2 linked regions of the Struthio camelus genome follow. The protein of the gene in region 1 purifies or fractionates together with the protein of each later gene. This does not show direct contact. Links are inferred from orthologs where the notes say so. Each region holds a gene or a part of one and is shown on either strand. Other genes may lie near its edges. The genes, in order: RAB5A and RABGGTA.

Region 1 (3,909 bases):
ATATGCCCATACCAGGGAAGGGACAAAAAGACAAAAGGAGGAAACAAACACAGCAAAATGAGATTTGTTTATTTCCTTCTCAGACTACAGTCCCATCAGCCACAGTATTTTACAAGCAGTTAGGTGTTTTTAAGGCAGCACTAAAGAGCAGAGATAATAAAAGGCTGCGACATGATTAATTTAAGCTTTCTGTTTTCAGCATACTTCTAAAGTAGCAGCAACAACAGCAGAAGAATCCTGCACGGACAGAAAGACTAACTGGACAACTAACATTAAAGTTCTATATTTTAAGGTGATAATGAACCACTACCATAATGGGCCTTTAGCTCCAATATAACCCGGGCCATAGGCTTTTCCTAATTTAATTTTTGCTCCAACTTAATATGTGGTTGAACAAAAGCATATTTTGAGAGGACAGCAACATACAATCCTGATTTAACATTTTCTGTGATTGAGAGTCTAAACAATCTTTATTAAATTGTACCAATGATTAAATACCATAACTGATAAAGTTACTAAACTTCTTTCCAGTTCTGCTTTGGCTTGCTCTAAATGCCAACCGTTACACCTTATTAAACCTGCAAGATTAGGGAAACACTTATTATACCTGTTTCATTTCCTATGGAACCTGTTTATAATCTGTGACCAAGTGTCCCTTACTCTTCTCTTTCATGGGATCAGTAGATTGGGCTCTTTTTATCTTTCACAGTGAGGGAAGTTTTCCATTCTTCTTATCATTCATATAAGCCTTTTCTGAATTCTCTCTCACTTTTCAACATCCTTCCTCAGTTACAGAGATCAAAAAGGCAGGCAGGATTACAGCACGCTTCTCACAATACACCAGCAATACAGAACAAAAGTCATACATGTACTGCCATCTCCAGCATGAGATGTATGATCCAATATTTGCATGTATTGAGACGTACTATTTGCATCTACCTATCCAGCAATAAAGACACTTCTCCATTGGTAACCTATTCTCTTCAGTTTTAGCACTCTCCCAGTATTGATCGTATCCCAAAACTTCATCCCATAAACTTCATTTATTAAAGAAAAATGTTAAGCAGCTGTCCAATTGTATTCGGGATTTTTTCTATGTACTTCCTTCCCTCAACTCATTTGGCTTAGGGCTTTGGTCCTTTTAAAGCACCCAACTGGGAGTTTGCAGGGAATCCAGTTCACAGCCCTGGCACCTCAGTGGCCACATCATGCTGCACTGTGCTTGCTGTTTCTCGCAGAGAGGCATTCAGGAAGCCTAGCTGTTCTCAAGAGACTCTTTCCCTCAGACTTACAAGAGCAGGACGTAAGCCATTCCCTGCAAATCGAGGGCCCAACTTCCGCCACGCCTGACAAGCCCTCTTCGTTCAGCCACTAACGGCTCCCTCACGCCTTGCCCGACCACTAAACACAAACGTATTTACTTGGGGAAAACGACGCCTTATTTGAGCGCAGCAAGGGGGGAGGAGGGGGCGATCACCTCCCTGGGCTCCACCTCCGGGAGGACGAGGACGACACGGCGCCTGGGTGTCGCTGCTCGCGGCGGCCGCCACCACGGCCCCGCTCGGGCAGGCGCCGGGGCCGCCCTCAGCGAGGCCGGTGGGGTGGAGAAAGCGCCACAACCGCCGCGTCGCTGCCGAGGCACCGGCCGTTGGCGGGGCAGAGGGGAGCCCTCCTCGCGCCTCTCCCGTGGGCCCCCGCGCGGGCTGGCACGCGGCGGCCGTGGCGGGGGGCCCCGCGCGGGCGGTCGCAGCCCCGCGGCGTTGCCCCGGTAACGGCCCAGACGCGGGGCGGGGGGAGAACGGGACGGAAAACGAAAGGGGCGGCGGGAGGAAACGAAACGCAGGGGAGGGCGGGAGCGGCCACGTGACGCGCGGGCGAACCGGAAGCGCATGCCGCGTGCGGGCCGTGACGTGGCCGCGGCGGCGGCCGCGGCGGAAGTGCGTGTGTGTTTTGGTCCGGGCCGAGGAGGCGGCGGAAGCTGGCGGCGGCGCGGGCGAGGCACGGCAGCGCCCCCGCCCCGAGCCCCCGAGCCTCCCCTTCCCTCCCCGGGCCTGGCTCGTCCTCCCGCCCTGCCGGAGAGACAGAGAGAGACGCCGCCGCCGCCCGGCTCCCCTCCCTTCCCCCTCCCGCGCGCGGCCGCCGCGGCCCGGCCAGGTGAGGAGGCGGCGGCGGGGCTCGCGGGGCGGGGGGCCCGCTGGCGGGGCGGCGGGGCCGGCGCGGCCCCCGGGGTACGGGCCGTCGCTCCTAGCCCTCTGCTTCCTCCGCCGCAGCTGCCGGCGGCCGCCTGCGTGCGCGCCGCCTCCGGGCGGTGCGGGAGCGTTGGGCCGCGGCGTGGGCTGCCGCGGTGGGCAGCCCGGCGGGCGGAGGGGGGAGGCCGGTCTGGCTTTTCCCGTCTCAAAATGGCGCTCCCGGTTCTCCCACTTCCCCTTATTCCCCTGCCTGCGGCTGGAAGGAAGCGGCGGGGGAGGGAAGGCGGCGGCGGGCATTGGAGGAGCTGGGCTGGGGATCCCGTTGAGAAGGGGGGGAGTGGGGATCCTCCCTGCCTGCGGCCTCTGCTGCGGTGAGTTACCGCTGCCTGGCCCTCCTGCAGGGGAAGGGGTGTATCTTTCGAGTTACCTGAGCGAAAGGAAAGGGGTGGATGGGTGACGGGTTCCTTTCTTTTGCCTGTGACCTGGAAAGGGACGCTGAAGAAGGTGGGAAGGAAAATACACTGGCCACACATCGCCATTCAGGGAATCTTGGATCAGGGATGGCAGGACCCCTGCTCCTTACCCCCCTCCCCCAATACAGGCCTAGTTTATATATGGTTCTACATAAGACTTGGTTGGGACGAGGAATAAAGCTATAGTATGGTGAAGAGACAAATCAATGCTCTCTTATCCTTTAGAGGAGAGTAGGGTAACCAAAAATTATCAAAATGGTGTTCAAAACAATAGGTCTATGACAGACAAAATTAGTCCCTCAGCATTTTCCTTTTTTTTTCCTTCTCTCTTTTTTTTAAACCTTTTACCTTTGTACCTTTTTTAGCTTTACCTTTTCTCAGCCTGGGAATGGAAAAGAGAGACTGAACAGTAACACTGAAATTAATCAGCTCGGTCCAAGTAACACTCGGAGCAAGTAAAAAGCATAACATACTTGATTCCCCACCCCCCATTTGGCAGTGAGTTCCTAGAGTTGCAGTAAGGGTAATTTACTCGTGCATATTTTTACCTTATGGAACGAAATGTCAAGACAACATGAATGTTAACTGAAATGAGGTGGTTAGAGACAGTAATTATACAGTCATCATTACCTGTCTTTCTGATATGATAAACTAGTTTATCTCAAAGCAGTGCATAATATACATCATTCATATGAACTTACGAGATAGCTATTATCTTTAATTGGAAGGCTGTGAATTTCCTGTACTGTTGATTCATGTGCTTAACATACTGTCTCATTATGTTTCAATATAAACTGACTTGCATATGACAAATGTTCTGATAGTTGTACCTGTCACTATCTTGAATACTACAGGACAATGCCACACTAATTTGGTCAACCTGAGAAGGGAATAACAAAAAATTGGCCAGTTAGGAGTGCCTACCACGTAAGTTTATTTAGATATTCCTATTTAAATTGTTCAGGATCATTCAGTATAAATAAACTTGAAGTAGGTAGTGGCTATAACTTCAGTGTTGTATGACTGTTTTCGACACTATCAACACTGAATTTCAAATACGGTCAGCCAGAGGCAGTCATTTATGAGTTACAATTTTCCAGTAATCTGAAACTTGAAAGCGTATTTGTGTCTAAAATGCTTCATCCCTGAATTGAGAAGCTATTTAGAGTCTGGTGGGGTGTTTTTTGGGTTTTGGGTTTTTTTAATTGATCTGAATTTTTTATTTCTGTTTCTGGTCACAAAGTATG
Region 2 (3,909 bases), on another chromosome or scaffold:
GAAAACACACAAATCCTGTCAGAAAACCCCACCAAACCCACCATGGGTCTTCACAACCCCCAAATCCTCTCAGAAAACCCATAAACTCCCTCAAAAAAATCACAAATCCTGTCAGAAAACCCGCCAAATCCCCCCCCAGGGGTCTTCACAACCCCCAAATCCCCTCAAAAAATCACAAATCCTGTCAGAAAACCCACCAAATCCCTCCCCCAGGGGTCTTCACAACCCCCAAATCCCCTCAAAAAATCACAAATCCTGTCAGAAAACCTGCCAAATCCCCCCAGGGGTCTTCGCAACCCCCAAATCCCCTCAAAAAATTACAAATCCTGTCAGAAAACCCACCAAATCCCCCCCAGGGGTCTTCGCAACCCCCAAATCCTCTCAGAAAAACCCCAATTTCCCTCAAAAAGCCCACAAATCCTGTCAGAAACCCCCCCCAAAACCCCTCACCTCCCCCCCCGCCCTCCCCACCGCCCCTCACCCAGCTCCTCCGGGCTCAGCCCCTCCTGCAGCGTCTCCAGGGCCCGGCGGAAATAAGCGGCGGTGCCGGGGTCCAGCCTCGGTGCCGGTACCGGTGTCGGTGCCGGTTCAGCCCCGGGAACCGGTCCCGGTGCCGGCGCGGAGCCTCCGCGGCGCCGCACACCCATGGCGGCGTGTGGAGGCGCCACGCTGTATCCCGACACGCCCCGCGCGCCGCGGCCCGGGAGGGGGTTATATCCCGGCGTGCCCCGCGCGGAGGAGGCGGGAACAGGGCTTGGCGGCCGCTGGCGGCTTCCGTAGAGCCGCCTCGGTGTATCCCGGCGTGCCCCGCGCGCCGCAGCGCAGGGAACTGTAGGGGGGTATGTATCCCGGCGTGCCCCGCGCGGAGGAGGCGGAAATAGGGCTTGGCGGCCGCTGGCGGCTTCCGTAGAGCCGCCTCGGTGTATCCCGGCGTGCCGCGCGCCGTCCCCGCCCCCCTCCGCTAGGCCCCGCCTCTATCCCATCATCCCCCGCGCCGCCCCGCCCCGCCAGGGACCCAGGTGTCCGGCTCCGGTAAAGCGCCGTTATTTCCCTTCGTTCATTATTTATCCCCGTTTCTCCTTTAAGGCGGAAGTGGGAAGGGGGGGGAGGCCTTAAGCAGGGCCGCTCTGTGCCGGCGGGAGGACCCCCGTCTCTATGGTCTCGGCTTGGCTCTCCCCCCCCCCCCCCAAAACCCGGACGCCTGGGCCCCTCCTGCCCGAGCCGGACGCCTGGGCCCCGCTCACTCTCTGTCCCCCGCAGGTGCTGGACCCCCCCGGCGAGCCGCCATGGTGAGACCTCCCCGATCCCACCGTCCCCCGCGGCGGGCGCTAGTTCCCCCCTCCCCCCCCCCCGCCGTGACCCCCCCCACACTGTCCCGTGATGCTCTGGGGCTCCGCTGCAGACCCCCGGCATCCCACAATGCCCTGGGGCCCTTCGGCCCCCCCCAGAATCCCATGATGCCCTAGTGCCCCCCAGTATCCCCCACTATCCCCCAGTATCCCCCAGTGCCCCCCAGTATCGCCCAGTGCCCCCCAGTATCCCATGATGCCCCAGTGCCCCCCAGTATCTCCCAGTGCCCCCCAGTATCCCCCAGTTCCCCCCAGTGCCCCCCAGTATCCCCCAGTTCCCCCCAGTATCCCATGATGCCCCAGTGCCCCCCAGTATCGCCCAGTGCCCCCCAGTTCCCCCCAGTGCCCCCCAGTATCCCCCAGTTCCCCCCAGTATCCCATGATGCCCCAGTGCCCCCCAGTATCGCCCAGTGCCCCCCAGTATCCCATGATGCCCCAGTGCCCCCCAGTATCGCCCAGTGCCCCCCAGTTCCCCCCAGTGCCCCCCAGTATCCCCCAGTTCCCCCCAGTATCCCATGATGCCCCAGTGCCCCCCAGTATCGCCCAGTGCCCCCCAGTATCCCATGATGCCCTAGTGCCCCCCAGTATCCCCCACTATCCCCCAGTTCCCCCCAGTGCCCCCCAGTATCGCCCAGTTCCCCCCAGTATCCCATGATGCCCCAGTGCCCCCCAGTATCCCCCAGTTCCCCCCAGTATCCCATGATGCCCCAGCGCCCCCCAGCGCCCCCAGTATCCCACGCTGCCTTGCAGCACGGCCGCCTCAAGCTCCGCCCCTCGGAGGCGCAGGCCGCCGCCCGCCGCCGCGAGCGCGAGGAGAAGCTCCGCCTCTACCGCACCGCCATGGCCGCCATCTTGGAGAAGGTGACCCCGCGACCCCGCGACCCTTCGCGACCCCTTGACCCTTCGCCCTCCCCGTGACCCTTGACCTTTCGTGACCCTCCCCATGACCCTTGACCCTCCCCACGACCCCTTGACCCTTCATGACCCTCCCTGTGACCCTTGACCCTCCCTGTGACCCTTGACCCTTCGTGACCCTCCCCGTGACCCCTTGACCCTCCCCACGACCCCTTGACCCTGCATGACCCTCCCCGCGACCCTTGACCCTCCCTGCGACCCCTTGACCCTTCATGACCCTCCCTGTGACCCTTGACCCTCCCTGTGACCCCTTGACCCTTCATGACCCTCCCCGCGACCCCTTGACCCTCCCCGTGACCCCTTGACCCTTCATGACCCTCCCCGTGACCCTTGACCCTCCCCGCGACCCCTTGACCCTTCATGACCCTCCCCGTGACCCTTGACCCTCCCCGTGACCCTTGACCTTTCGTGACCCTCCCCGCGACCCCTTGACCCTCCCCACGACCCCTTGACCCTTCACGACCCTCCCTGTGACCCTTGACCCTCCCCACGACCCCTTGACCCTTCATGACCCTCCCTGTGACCCTTGACCCTCCCCGTGACCCCTTGACCCTTCATGACCCTCCCCGTGACCCCTTGACCCTCCCCGTGACCCCTTGACCCTCCCCACGACCCCTTGACCCTTCATGACCCTCCCCGTGACCCCTTGACCCTCCCCATGACCCCTTGACCCTCCCCGCGACCCCTTGACCCTTCATGACCCTCCCCGTGACCCCTTGACCCTCCCCGCGACCCCTTGACCCTTCGCGACCCTCCCTGTGACCCTTGACCCTCCCCATGACCCCTTGACCCTTCATGACCCTCGACCCTTCATGACCCTTCCTGTGACCCCTTGACCCTTCGCGACCCTCCCCGCGACCCCTTGACCCTCCCCGTGACCCCTGACCCTCCCCGCGACCCCTTGACCCTTCGTGACCCTCCCCATGACCCCTTGACCCTTCATGACCCTCGACCCTTCATGACCCTCCCCGCGACCCTTGACCCTCCCCGCGACCCCTTGCCCCTCCCCGCGACCCCTGTGCCTTGGCCCTCCCCCCGCGCCCCCCCGACCCCTCGCTCCCCCCGGGCGCCCCCTGACCCCGGTGCCCCCCGGTGCCCCCGCAGCGGCGGCGGGGGCGGCTGGACGGCGAGGCGCTGGCGCTGACGGCGGCCGTGCTGGCCGCCAACCCGGACGTGGGCACCCTCTGGAACGTGCGGCGCGAGGCCCTGGCCCGGCCCCCCCCCGGCTGGTGCGTACCCCCCCACACCCACACACCATAGACACCCCCCGTACCCTATAGACACCCCCCTGTACCCCATACACCCCCCTGTCCCCCGTACACACCCCCCTGTCCCCTATAGACACCCCCCTGTACCCTATAGACACCCCCCTGTACCCCGTACACCCCCCTGTCCCCCGTACACACCCCCCTGTCCCCTATAGACACCCCCCTGTACGCCATAGACACCCCCCTGTACCCTATAGACACCCCCCTGTACCCCGTACACCCCCCTGTACCCCGTACACACCCCCCTGTCCCCTATAGACACCCCCCTGTACGCCATAGACACCCCCCTGTACCCTATAGACACCCCCCTGTACCCCATCCACACCCCCCATACGCTATACACACCCCCCTGTACCATATACACATCCTCCTGTACC

What was found.
Region 2: the proteins of RAB5A (region 1) and RABGGTA purify together in Homo sapiens (affinity purification with mass spectrometry; 3 studies listed by BioGRID and IntAct, counting the BioPlex papers as one, with this or other methods). This does not show direct contact. The link is inferred for Struthio camelus from reciprocal best matches to the Homo sapiens genes RAB5A and RABGGTA.

The regions. Positions count from the first base shown.
Region 1 is NC_090943.1:42,638,069-42,641,977, forward strand, and holds the start of RAB5A (ras-related protein Rab-5A), read left to right. Parts: upstream 1-1,511; 5' UTR 1,512-1,768; intron 1,769-1,870; exon of another isoform or gene 1,871-2,154; intron 2,155-3,027; exon of another isoform or gene 3,028-3,185; intron 3,186-3,516; 5' UTR 3,517-3,589; intron 3,590-3,909. UniProt on the Homo sapiens protein: The small GTPases Rab are key regulators of intracellular membrane trafficking, from the formation of transport vesicles to their fusion with membranes.
Region 2 is NC_090970.1:678,995-682,903, reverse strand, and holds the start of RABGGTA (geranylgeranyl transferase type-2 subunit alpha), read left to right. Parts: upstream 1-954; 5' UTR 955-1,032; intron 1,033-1,060; exon of another isoform or gene 1,061-1,158; intron 1,159-1,260; 5' UTR 1,261-1,286; coding exon 1,287-1,289; intron 1,290-2,099; coding exon 2,100-2,210; intron 2,211-3,368; coding exon 3,369-3,493; intron 3,494-3,909. Other genes in the region: NOP9 (nucleolar protein 9), read right to left, coding at 482-647. UniProt on the Homo sapiens protein: Catalyzes the transfer of a geranylgeranyl moiety from geranylgeranyl diphosphate to both cysteines of Rab proteins with the C-terminal sequence -XXCC, -XCXC and -CCXX, such as RAB1A, RAB3A, RAB5A and RAB7A.